Saccharomyces cerevisiae S288C: one gene and its partner. Changing the gene in region 2 together with the main gene of any one other region gives a genetic interaction. Each region holds a gene or a part of one and is shown on either strand. Other genes may lie near its edges.

What was found.
Region 1: mutations in DMA2 (region 2) and NUD1 are lethal when combined (synthetic lethality), as found in Saccharomyces cerevisiae (one study listed by BioGRID).

The regions. Positions count from the first base shown.
Region 1 is NC_001147.6:1,035,174-1,039,889, reverse strand, and holds NUD1 (Nud1p), read right to left. Parts: upstream 3,057-4,716; coding exon 501-3,056; downstream 1-500. Other genes in the region: aldehyde dehydrogenase (NADP(+)) ALD4, read right to left, coding at 1-50; NDD1 (Ndd1p), read left to right, coding at 3,419-4,716. UniProt on the Saccharomyces cerevisiae protein: Involved in astral microtubule organization by binding SCP72 to the outer plaque in a cell-cycle dependent manner. Required for the mitotic exit by facilitating the binding of TEMP1 to CDC15.
Region 2 is NC_001146.8:406,032-414,165, reverse strand, and holds DMA2 (ubiquitin-conjugating protein DMA2), read right to left. Parts: upstream 5,826-8,134; coding exon 4,257-5,825; downstream 1-4,256. Other genes in the region: DEAD-box ATP-dependent RNA helicase DBP2, read right to left, coding at 1-527; DNA-directed RNA polymerase core subunit RPC19, read right to left, coding at 967-1,395; YNL115C (uncharacterized protein), read left to right, coding at 2,113-4,047; malate synthase MLS1, read right to left, coding at 6,144-7,808. UniProt on the Saccharomyces cerevisiae protein: E3 ubiquitin-protein ligase which functions in cell cycle retarding in conjunction with the UBC4 and UBC13/MMS2 complex, 2 E2 ubiquitin conjugating enzymes. Involved in nutritional control of the cell cycle.

The DNA.
Region 1 (4,716 bases), on a different chromosome or scaffold from region 2:
CCAATGGAGGATGCAGACGTCTTTAAGCAGAGCGTAGATCTACTGAACATGCTTTATTTATTTTTGTTATTGTAGTTTTCTTGGTTGGTTTTCCAGATACTTCTAATCCTAACACCCAAGAATTTTTGAGGAAAGGAGAGTGAAGTCAATTGTCACCGACAAACCCCCCCCATTTATATAACCGCCGAACTTCCATTTTCATTACAAATTTCTCCTCATTCTGCTTACCTACACCCGCCCCTCATTTTCCATCTCTGTTGGAGTTGGAGAAAAAGATACCTGTGGACGGAAGTCCCGCATCGCTGGATAACAGCCGTACCGTCGCCCGGGCGGGGAATCATACCAGCAAACAAAAATGAGGGGGAAATGACATCATGTGCGGACGGTACTAAAGGATCAAAAGAATGAATGAATGAATTGTTACACAAAACGGTGAAATTGTTACATACATTTACTAATTACATACATTTTTAGTACTGCGTACGGGTATAGTTATGGGGTTACAGATTCGTGGCAGTTGGGGCAGGAGTGTCATCTAACCAGAGGGTCGCCAGGGCGGGACATTGCTGCTGGCAGAGGCCAGCAAGCTGGAGCAACTGCCGGTAATGCAAGCTCGTGCTGGCGCGATCGTGGCGTGGTGTCGTGATTGGGTTATTTCGTAGATCAAGAAATTTTACTGATTGGCGTGGGAGAGTTTTTGTTAACTTGTGTGCGTTTTGTAGGTTGTTGCCTGGCAGATGTAGCTCTTGCAAGAACGGTAGTTCCTTGGAGAGGTCCACTGGTAAGTGTGTGAAGTCTCTAACATTAGCTATAGTTAGAGAATATAAGTTGGTGGATTTTAGAGAAGAGAATCGCGGCAAAGAGGAGGCCAGGCCGCCGTTGATCTCCAGAATTTGCAAAGTGGCAGGCCATTTTTGCCATTTGCTAAGTTGAGCGAAGCCGTCCAGTTTTAGAATCTTTAGATTTTGGTAGGGGAACGTGAATTGATCATCCAACTTGTAATTTTGTAATTTGGATAGCGCGCCTCCTGTATTTTTGATGGAAAGCGCTCTCAACGTTCCGTTCTCCATCTTAGAAGATTCCACGATGGAAACTAGCGGGTTACCATTGAGGTTTAAAACCTTCAGGCGGGGCAAGCAATTGATGTTTCTTACGCCAATTATGTTATTGTTGCTTAGATCTAAGACTTCCACGGTCAACCAGCCGCCCACGACAGAGTTGTTTGTTAGTATCAATTGTTCGAAATCGATGATACCATTAATCTCGTTGTTAGAAAGGTTCAGTTTTTTCATCCTGGAGGATCCTATCCCTTCTAAGGATTGGATGGAGTTGTAAGAAAGGTTCACCTCTTGCAGGTGATGACAAAGTGACAAAAATTTTAAACTTGTATTCAAGAGGTTGTACGATAAGTCGAGGCATTCCAGATCGTGGAATCCGGCTAATGAACAATGTGCGCTCGTTATTTTGTTGTTTGAACAAAATAGCTGTACAACGTTCGAGGGTATACCTTCTAGAGTGTTCATTTCATTGTCACTAAGGTTTAGCACTAATACATTCGGTAGTAGTCTTTGCATGCCAAACATATTCTTCAGTTTGCCCCTTGATAGGTCAACTTTCAGGATTTTTTCCCAATCGGAATCATAGCTTGGAGAACCAGATAGTTTACTAGTCAAGATTGATATTAGCTGCTTTTCAGTTTCGTTGAACGAGGTGTTTACTTCGGAAATGGACGTAATATCTTCAACCCGTTCAGCGGGGAAGGTCTTTAGTTTCTTGTGAGCTTCTAGTAGATTGGAATTAGAGATTGAACGAGAGGTACGCATTTGTCCTTTAACCTTCGCTCTAGTGCCATTTTTCGTAAAAAGGTCATTAAATTTTGGTGTGTCTAGGGGCGTGTCATCGCTATTTGCTAGATTTTCTTCTTCTTGTATTTTCTTTTGGCGGTAGCCAACATCACCTGGTTTGGTACTGGTTAATTCATACGCCTTCTTATCTAGAATTGAAGGTGCCTTACCGTTAGTGTGATTATCTCCAGTTGGTACCATTGTGGCGAACTGGGACTGGTTGGAAGATGTATTGTCCAGAGAATGTGAACTCGACACATCTAAGCCCTGGTTCAGCGGCGGATCCCATGCGCCGTGTGTATGGTTAAACTGATATCCCAATTGACCGGGTGAAATAGTGTTCAATGGAGGTTTCTTGAGAACTTTTGATTTTCTGCCTGATTGAGTTTGAGAGGACGACATGGATGACGATGATGAAAATTCAAAAGAATTGGAAGTGTCCTCTTCGTCCTCCTCCTTCGTTCTAGCGTTATCCTTATTATTAATATTAATACTATTATTATTATTATTATTATTATTATTATTATTGTTTTTGTTGTTGCTATTACTTGGATAAGAACCCACCAAATAATTCGATTTTTGCTTTTGTAATATGCCATCAAATACATCATGTGCCTCAGCTGCTGGGCCAGAATCGCTGTCATCAGAAAACGACGATGAGACCTTCTCAGCGTTAAAGAAATCTTTAGAATGTGAAATACTAATCGTATCATGGTTTTCATGGGTCTGCATAGTAGTAGTTTTATTCTTCATATCTAAATGTCTTTTAAATGTATTTGTTTCAAGAACTCCAGATAAATCCTTAACCAAGTCGCTCACAATGAGATCCGATTCAGGAACTTTGTTTGCAGTACCAACAGCGCCACCAAAGTTGGTACCACCGCCGCTACCAATACCAGGGAAATACTGCTTCCATTGAGCTTCTTGATGAGATGTAGCAGTCGTGCCTGAAAAACCTGACGGCACTTTCTGATGCACCGTGCTATAGTTGTTCAAAACTGTCATTGTAGGAGGTTTTTTGACAGAATCGGATATTGCAGGTTCCACAACTTGGGAAGTAAAATTTGAATCTTGAAAATCGTGGTTACTTTCATATTCCTTAAACACTTTACCACTGTTACTGTGCGCGTTCGAGCGTAGCTTTCGTGGTGAATTTATTGTAAGATTCTCCAGCTGGCTCGATAGTTCTGCCTCCTGCGTATCCATATCCATTTCGGTATGCTTTTACTATTCAACCTAGTCGGCAATTTTTTCACCTGAATATTGTTGAACACTTCTGGCATCCTAGATACTCATCTGTATTTATTCATTATCTGTTGTGCATCGTTAATAGCATTCCAGTAAACAAGTTTAGGTCACTACCCGCATAAGCCTTTTGGCGTTTGGCGTAACCCTCCTCGCGAAAAGAAACGGGACGCAAAAAAAAAAAACAACAAAACAAGAACAAAACAAAACAAATAGGACAGAGCCTTAAGGAGCTGCAAGGATCTTCTGAATATTTGGCATCGGCATTGTGGGTGGAAAAAGTGTCCAAATTGGAATAAATTGGTCAGAATAGAGCATTGATTCCAACTATGGACAGAGATATAAGCTACCAGCAAAATTATACCTCAACTGGGGCAACTGCAACTTCCTCAAGACAGCCCTCTACGGACAATAATGCAGATACAAATTTTTTGAAGGTAATGTCAGAATTCAAATATAATTTTAACAGTCCGTTACCTACAACGACTCAATTCCCCACGCCCTATTCTTCTAATCAGTATCAACAGACTCAAGATCATTTTGCCAATACAGACGCTCACAACAGTTCGAGCAACGAATCGTCGTTGGTAGAGAACAGTATATTACCGCATCATCAGCAGATACAACAGCAACAACAACAACAACAACAACAACAACAACAACAGCAAGCTCTAGGTTCACTTGTACCTCCTGCTGTCACAAGGACAGATACAAGTGAGACTTTGGACGATATCAACGTTCAACCTTCTTCTGTTTTGCAGTTCGGCAACTCTTTACCCAGCGAATTTTTGGTTGCATCCCCAGAGCAATTCAAAGAATTTTTGTTGGACTCTCCGTCCACCAATTTCAATTTCTTTCACAAAACTCCGGCAAAGACACCACTTCGATTTGTAACAGATTCTAACGGTGCTCAGCAAAGCACCACAGAGAACCCAGGTCAACAACAGAATGTTTTTAGCAATGTCGATTTGAACAATCTTTTGAAGAGTAATGGAAAAACACCCTCATCTTCATGCACCGGCGCATTTTCACGCACTCCTCTGAGTAAGATTGACATGAATCTCATGTTCAATCAACCGCTGCCGACATCTCCATCAAAAAGGTTCTCCTCCCTGTCGTTGACACCATATGGAAGAAAAATTCTGAATGACGTCGGTACACCTTATGCAAAAGCATTGATATCGTCTAACAGCGCGTTAGTGGATTTTCAGAAGGCAAGAAAGGATATTACCACTAATGCAACATCCATAGGGCTGGAAAATGCCAACAACATCTTACAGAGAACGCCGCTAAGATCTAACAATAAAAAATTATTTATTAAAACCCCCCAGGATACCATCAATAGCACTAGCACACTAACTAAGGACAACGAAAATAAACAGGACATATACGGCTCTTCACCGACTACCATCCAATTAAATTCATCAATAACTAAATCTATCTCCAAATTGGATAACTCTAGAATTCCCTTGTTAGCTTCGAGATCAGATAACATTCTGGATTCCAATGTGGATGACCAATTGTTTGATTTGGGGTTGACAAGATTACCTTTATCACCAACACCAAATTGTAATTCTTTGCATAGTACAACCACAGGTACATCTGCCTTACAAATTCCTGAGCTACC
Region 2 (8,134 bases):
TTGATATGAACAATACCTGGTAAACAATAAGACAAAGTCTTACCGGAACCAGTGGCAGCAATACCAACCATGTCCCTACCAGATAAAGCCATTGGCCAACCCTGACATTGAATGCCAGTTGGTTTGTCAAATCCTTCAGCCTTCACTTCATTCAAAACGTAGTCTGGGAAACCAGCTTCATCGAAAGTGGTGATTGGCTTTGGAATATCGTGTCCGGAAATAGTCATTTCATTTTCCTTTCTGAACTGAGCAATCTCACTGTCCGATCTGTCGCGAACACTTTCGTGTTCAACATAGAAATTCTTTTCGAAAGTTGGCAATTTGGGTAATTCTTCATCCCAGTTTGGTTTGATCAATTCCTGGGGTTGGTTGTAATTGGAACGACCACCGAAACCACCACGGTAGTTACCGCCTTGTGGTCTGTCATTGTAAGAGTTTCTATCAGAGTTTCTTCCACCGCGGAAGTCGCCACCTCTAGACTTGTAGTTAGTCTTGTTATATTGCTGATCTCTACCACCGTAAGTCATATTTGCTCTAAATTTGCCTTAATAGTGCTTAATTCTGTTACAGGTTGTTGACAAGAAAATAATTTGAATGAGATACAGAAAAGTATAAGTTATTTGAGCGTAGGACAGTCTTTTTATAAGACAAATAAACTGAAGGAAAAATTTTCTGCGATGAGCATCGGCGTAAAAAAAAAAAAAAAAAAAAAAAAAAGAAATAAAAAAAGAAATAAATTTTTCAATCATTCAATACGGAATACGCCTTTAAAAAGGAATTTCGAATTCTCAACATTATTAGCACCTTGTACGAAGGTGTATTTTTATCTGGTTATATTATACATAGATTTTAAATAGCACGACTATAAACGGGATACACAAATCAAGCTGTATCTATACTAGCGTGGTGTGCATAATTATTAGAAATTTCAGAGTGACAGAGGGTCTTTGAGTCGATCCGTAACATCTACATGCTCTTGATTTTTTCAGTAAACTTAGATTCTACAACGTCACATAAATCCATCAAGTCCTTTAGCCCTTTTTGAAGAGCATCCACCGCGGTCGTTTCACCGTAGGTTTGAATTCTGATATTTAATAGGTTTTCAGAAGGATGAGGTATCGAGTAACCACAAAATTCTACGTCTGGATTTTTCATTATAACGTAACGAAGGGCATTTCCAAGCGTGTGATCCTCCTCTACAATTTGAAAAGAGGCACTAGTTCCATCTTCAGATGTTGCCTGTGTGAGAAGCTTAATTTTTTCCCTGTCTGGTTCCTCTTCCTGTTCTTCATCGCCAGTCATATCAACATCCTGTTCTTCTTCTTCTTGGATGTGCTTTGGTTCTTGTGGTGTTACCTCTGTAGCGGTCTTTTTTTGTTCGATGTCTTCAGTCATTTGCCTGGTACTTTATGTGAAGTTCAATTTTTCCGACTTTGGATTGATGGCCTTTCCCCAATTCGTTACTTTATACCTCAGCATTAGTATGGTTTTCTTTTGAAATTTTTTTTTTTTCCAGCTCATCGCAGGTGAATATTTCTATCACTTGTTACGTTTACCATTACCCGGATTGAAGTAAATATGATTCACCCCAATAAAGCTGTACAGAAGAGATAAGATGTAGCTTTATTAGAACAAAGTTTATCACGTTGTTGGTACTTAGAATAATCTATGATATTGTTGCGTCTTTTTGAATAAGCTTTCTTGCGTGCCGTTTTTTTCGGTTTTTTTTTATATTTCTGCCCAAAAAACGTAGTTCAAAGAAAAGGAACTATCCCAAAATAGAAGCAAGTTATGTTTAAGGAATTAAAAAATGTACCTATAAAGCACGTTTTTCTGATATGTATATGCCTATGTAATGTAGAAGTTGTCGAATCAGCAATCGTATTGGTCAACCTTGATGGCATGTTCTCAGCACGTTTTGAAGTGGCTATGCATATATAGTGTTCTTTAATCTATTCCTTGCAAGGCTATTCGGACCCCTAATTTTAACCATCGTGCAGTTTAAAGGGATGAGAGAAAAACTAAAAGTTAGATGCCTTGCTATATTCTATAAGGAGGAAAGGAAAGGAAAGCCATTGAAGAAAGAACTGTAGGCATCAGAGCGAACAGATCATGAAGGCTAATGGTTTAGATAATGATCCGGCAAGGACGGGAATGGAAAGAACAGATATAGATAGTGAACACCCAGAAGCGCAACCGTTGCTGAACAACAACCACCGGACCCTTGGTGCAGGATCCGCGAATGGCCCAGCAGTTAATGAAGGTCGTGACATTGAATCCGATGGGTTCATCAAAGATAGTCTCTTTCAAATTCGCAAAGGTTATAGAATCTTTATTCATAACTCCAAATGGATATTAAATATCCTAATTCTAATTAACACCATCTGGCTAGTCACCACTTTGATTTCAGATTTCTTTTTCAATATCAATATTCTTTTCGGATTCAGTAACAGGTACGCAAGTTTTAACGACTTGACTTTAATATTCATCTCGATCATAGCTAATTCTTTCAATCTCTGGTTTAATAAGCTGGGACTGTACTCAGCTTTAGATTACAGCTTAAATGTAACTCTCTGTGTTTTGACGTTGTTCAATCTAGCATTGACCTATCTAATTAAATACACTAGGCAAAGAATCGGCTTTGTGGGCACGTTTACATATTTGTGGACTTCGTTTTCATTTTTTATTGGGGCAATATTAGATTGGTATCTCTTGTTTTACAACAACTCAATAAATGAGCCATTGGAGGAACGCAGAATTGATGATGCTAATATTAGTACTTTCAACGAAAACCATACAAATAGTACCGAAAACAGGGACAGAAGCCAATATGGCTCTGGGTCGCCAACCCCCACCCACCGCTCGCAGCTGGTCCAAAACAAACATACATTGACAGAATGGGTATCCATTGGGTTCAGGAATACTATTAAGTTTTTAATTTTAATATTCTTCGCTTTATTCACCCTGAATACACTTTTAACGACATTGGATACCTACAGATTGACTCACAAATTACCAATAACCGTTCAGTCGCCCTCGTACGAGGCGTTCCATTACGTAGATGCCGCTAAAACCTATCAGTTGCATATAACTTGTTATGGTGACGTATTTGATCAAGAAAACAACACAGATTTGTCTGAAAATAAGAAGCAACCTATCATCTTGTTTGAACACGGAGGTTATGATACTGGTTACCTTTCTGCCACCTGGATTGAGGAACTATATCATTTAGACAAAATTCAAAGATATTGTCTATACGATAGACCAGGGTACGGGTTGAGCGATTCTCCTCCCGCCCCAATCTCTATTGCGATGGTTGCGGAATCTTTAAGGTACGCATTGATCAAAGATGCAAAAATTAAAGGTCCCTTCACTACAGTAGGATACGACCTTGGCGGGCTATTTACAAGAGTATTTACCGCCAAGAATGTCGATATTGTGGATAGCATGATGCTTGTTGAATCATGGCATGAAGAACTATTGTTAAAAAACTACATTCAAAGATTACTACCTCCAGGCCGTGGTGATGGCGACGATGGCGACGATGGCAATGGTAATGATGGGGATGGCCGCAACCATGATAAGACTTGGTTACCTTCGGAGATAGAAAGGCATAACGAATTTAGATTATGGTGGAAAGGCATTTGGTCGAGTTTAGGATGGAGATTACAGACTTCATGGTTACTAGCTCATCATGGGTCTAAAGAACGTATATATGGGCGTGATATGAAATATCAAGGACGTTTCTTGCGTTCCAAGTTTTTGGAAAGCGTGACGAGTTCAATTCTAAGTTACAGAGATGTGACAAACAATGCAGAATCTTTGCAAAATGTGAAGACAAGCATCGTTAGCTCTAAGGAAATGGTGAAGAAGTCGGCATTATGGGGCGATTGGCAAAGAGATTTGACCAAAATTTCTCACAAGACTCAAGAATGGAAAATAGTTGAAGGTGGGCATGAAATATATAAGTATGGTCTGGGCAAACAACAAACTCAAGAAGTCCTATTAAGATTAATAGGTGAGCTTGGCAAACTAACCGAGGATTAACCGAGTTCTTTACTTTTTTTTTAGTTTTATATGTGAAAGCAAAATTGACTGCCAACGATGGAGGTATTGTATTCCTGAAAACAATAAGTCAAATATGTAAACGGCGCAAATATATAAATACTAAGAGAATAATTAAAATAATATTAAGGTACGAGATGTGGAGTTCGGTGGTTTTTCTTTATTTTTCAAACTGTGTATTTTCTTTGACCTTAAGGATGGCTATCAACATCCTTTGAAGTTTCCATTAAGACGCTAAGTTGATCCACCAGTTGATCACCTTCACTTTCCACATCACTTTCATCTTCCTCGTCACTACTTTCAAAGGAGGCCTCCAAATCACAACTTGATCTACAGTTGGGGCAAACAAATTGCGGATATGAGAGCATGACCAATCTTCTTACACAACGGAAATGCCAGCTATGTGCGCATGGTGATATGAAAATTGCTTGACACGGTTTGATCTTACATAGGCAAATCGAACAATCTTCTTCTTCAATACCTGTAGTTAATTTTTGTAAATTCTGCAAACGCTGTAAAGCTTCTTTGTTGAACGAATTTGCCTTTAGTTTCCATGATCTATTTAGCTCAATCCTCATCCTTACACAACGATAGATTTCTTCCGTGCCACCTCTAAAATCCATTCCTAACTGTAAAATATCACCATCACGAAGAGGGGTATCTTTCGATAAAGAGGAAGCGGGTGAGAGCCTTTGGTGATTTAAGAAAGTTCCACTAGATGATTTCACATCCTTTATATACCAGTTACCTTGAGAGTCAACTTTAAAACAACCATGTGTCCTTGAAACAACTTTGGATTTAAATACAACTGGATGATATTGTTCAGGTATTTTAGAAATTGCATCGCGAACACGCTCAGTATAGCGGCCAATAACCAATTGGGATCCAGGGCCAGCCTTTCTTATAATCGGTTCAAAGAATAAACCTTGATTTGTCGTGGACGAACTATCAATAAATGGGGTTAGTCTTATACTAAAAAGACCATGCTTATCTTTCCTTTGCTTCAAAGTGACCTCATCTACATTGAACATATTGTTTGACTCCTCTGCACTTGTTGCAGGTAAATCCAAATGTAAAATTTCGGTCCCATTTGGCTGGTTTGCAGCATATATCAAGTGACGTAAATTCTTATACATTTCCTGACTGTTGTTAACAATAGTAGATCCATCTGCACCACCGACTATATTTCTCGTTGTAGCCGCTGGCGCCATGGAAATTATCGAGGTTGTGGTATTGTTAGTACCGTTAGGCTGCCGCTGATTCAAAGACTCTTGAACGTTACCAACATTGTTGCCTTCGAAATTATGCGCAGATGATTGCTGGTGGTCTGTGGTTGTAGGGGCAGTGAGAGATATGGAGATGGGGAGTTGATAGTTGCGATGAACGTGGAACTGGGCCGACAGAGGCATTTGTATAGGATGATGCAGACGTGGTTCCTGCTGTTGCGGAGCGGTATCGATACTTTCCATGGCCACACTCATATGTGAGTTAGATGGGGTTGTGCCGAATAGACGCTGATCAGGAGCCGCAGAAGAAGAAGCTGTCTGGCTATTTTGCCTAATTCCGAAGGTATTCAAAAACGAACTGATACCCGACGCCGGACGAGCCCGCTCATTGGATGGAGTACCACTGGCTCTGTTCCTTGGGTTTATGCCACTACTGCTAGTGGTGTTGGCATTTGATGCGGATGAAGAGTTGGACGTCATCGATGAAGTTGGTGCAGTGGGAGCAGGGGTATTAGCAGGGATAGGCGTGTACATTTCCACGGTATATCCTTTGCTGAAAGCTTCAAACGTATACAATGCGTTGCTATACTTTCTCGACTTCTTTTCAAATCAAAATATATGCCCACGTTTGGAGTCATCAAGTATTGTGTTTGAAATTCCACAACAATGGTTGATGCCTTCGCCGTCGACCGTGATACATTAATCTGGCCAAAACAAAAAAAGGAATCATGATAAGATGATTCATTGCTAACTACGAAACGAAGCAATATAAAGATAAGTTTTTGGATTCCGATACATAATCATATAGGCATGAATATATTTTTATATATGTGTACACTGGGGCAAGGGAGATCACAATTTGCTCAAATCAGTGGGCGTCGCCTTAGTGGACACAATTTCGTCGTACAACAATGTAGTCAAAAATTCACTGAATTTCTCGCCTCTGATTTCTGGCAAGAAATACTTAGCGGCCAGCGCGAATTTGTTCTTGTCACCCAATGGACTTGCCTTAGACAGTCTTTCCACTTGTTCTTTTAGAATCTTTTCGGTTAATTCTGGGGTGACCTTTTCTCCCGTGTCCTTTAGAGTAACACCGTGTTTCACCCATTGATACAATTGACAACGAGACACTTCAGCAGTGGCGGCGTCTTCCATCAAGTTGTTGATGGGCACACATCCAGAGCCTCTGAGCCAAGCTTCCATGTACTGCAACCCGATATCCAAGTTTTGTACAATTCCCTCGGTAGTAATCTCACCATTTGGAATTTTGGTTTCCAGCAGATTAGCAGCCGTTACAACGTTTTCAGGAATGAAATAGATTTGGTTTGGTGTTCCCATATTAATGAAAACTTCATTACAAATAGGGGCCAGTGCTGGGTGTGCAACCCATGACCCATCATGTCCATTTGTCAGCTCTCTAATCTTATCATTACGGACTTTAGTCATGGCCTTTTCATTGGCTGCCGGGTCGTCTTTGATAGGGATTTGCGCAGCCATACCACCCATGGCATGAACACCCCTCCGATGACAGGTATTGATTAATCTTTTCACGTATGCATCCATGAATGGGGAAGTCATAGTCACTTGATTTCTATTGGGCAAAATGTGATTAGGATCATTTCTTAATCTCTTGATTGTAGAGAAAATATAGTCCCAACGTCCGCAATTCAACCCACTAGAATGTTGTCTTAATTGATAGATGATCTCTTCCATTTGGAAAGCAGCAGGCAAAGTTTCAATCAACACAGTAGCTCTGATTGTACCCCTTGGGATCCCAATGTAATCTTGAGCTACACAGAAGACGTCGTTCCATAGTTTAGCTTCCAAGTGGTGCTCCATCTTTGGCAAATAGAAGTAAGGACCTTTGCCCAATTTGATTAATTCTTTGGCATTATGGTAGAAATATAAACCAAAATCAAAGATGGAAGCGCTGATTGGTTCATCATCTACATAAAGGTGCTTTTCCACCATGTGCCAACCACGGGGTCTCACGATAATAGTGGGCAAGTTGGCCACATTTCCATTCAATTTGTACGATTTTCTTGGTGTGTCAAAATCGATTTGATTTCTGATCGCGTCGTAGAGATTAACTTGACCGTAAACCATGTTGTTCCAAGTAGGTGAAGCTGAATCTTCAAAATCAGTCATATAGGTGTTCACAGGAGCATTCAAAGCGTTGATCAGCATATTTCTCAATGGAGGCCCTGTGATTTCCGTTGACCTATTAATTAACCCCGGTGCCAAAATTGGACCTTGCCAAGTGGGATCATTTCTAATATTTGCAGTTTCAGGCAGGAAATCCAGATGATAGGAGCCCGAGTCTAATTTCTTCTGAACAACTTGTCTGTTTTCCAATAATTGTTTTCTCTTGTTGTTGAAAGTTCTGTGTAAAAGAACAATGAACTCTAGAGCATCCTTGGTAAGAATATCTCCCACTGTAGTACTAGATGGTTTAAAGAAAGGCTCCTTATCAACATCCACCAGTAATTTGACGTTATCCAAACTGACCTTAACCATTTTCTTAATTCTTTTATGTGCTTTTACTACTTTGTTTAGTTCAAAACAATAGTCGTTATTCTTAGGTACTATAGCATAAGACAAGAAAAGAAAAATAAGGGACAAATAACATTAGCAGAAGTACGGTATATTTTACTGTTACTTATATACTTTCAAGAAGATGAGTTAAATCGGTAGCCAGTGTAGAAAAATAATAATAAGGGTCATCGATCCTTCGCATTTTATTATCCAATTAAAGATACGAATCACGGCAAACTATATTCAAAGCTCATAGATAATCGTCGTAAGGCTGACACTGCAGAAGAAAAGTCATAATTTGAATACTA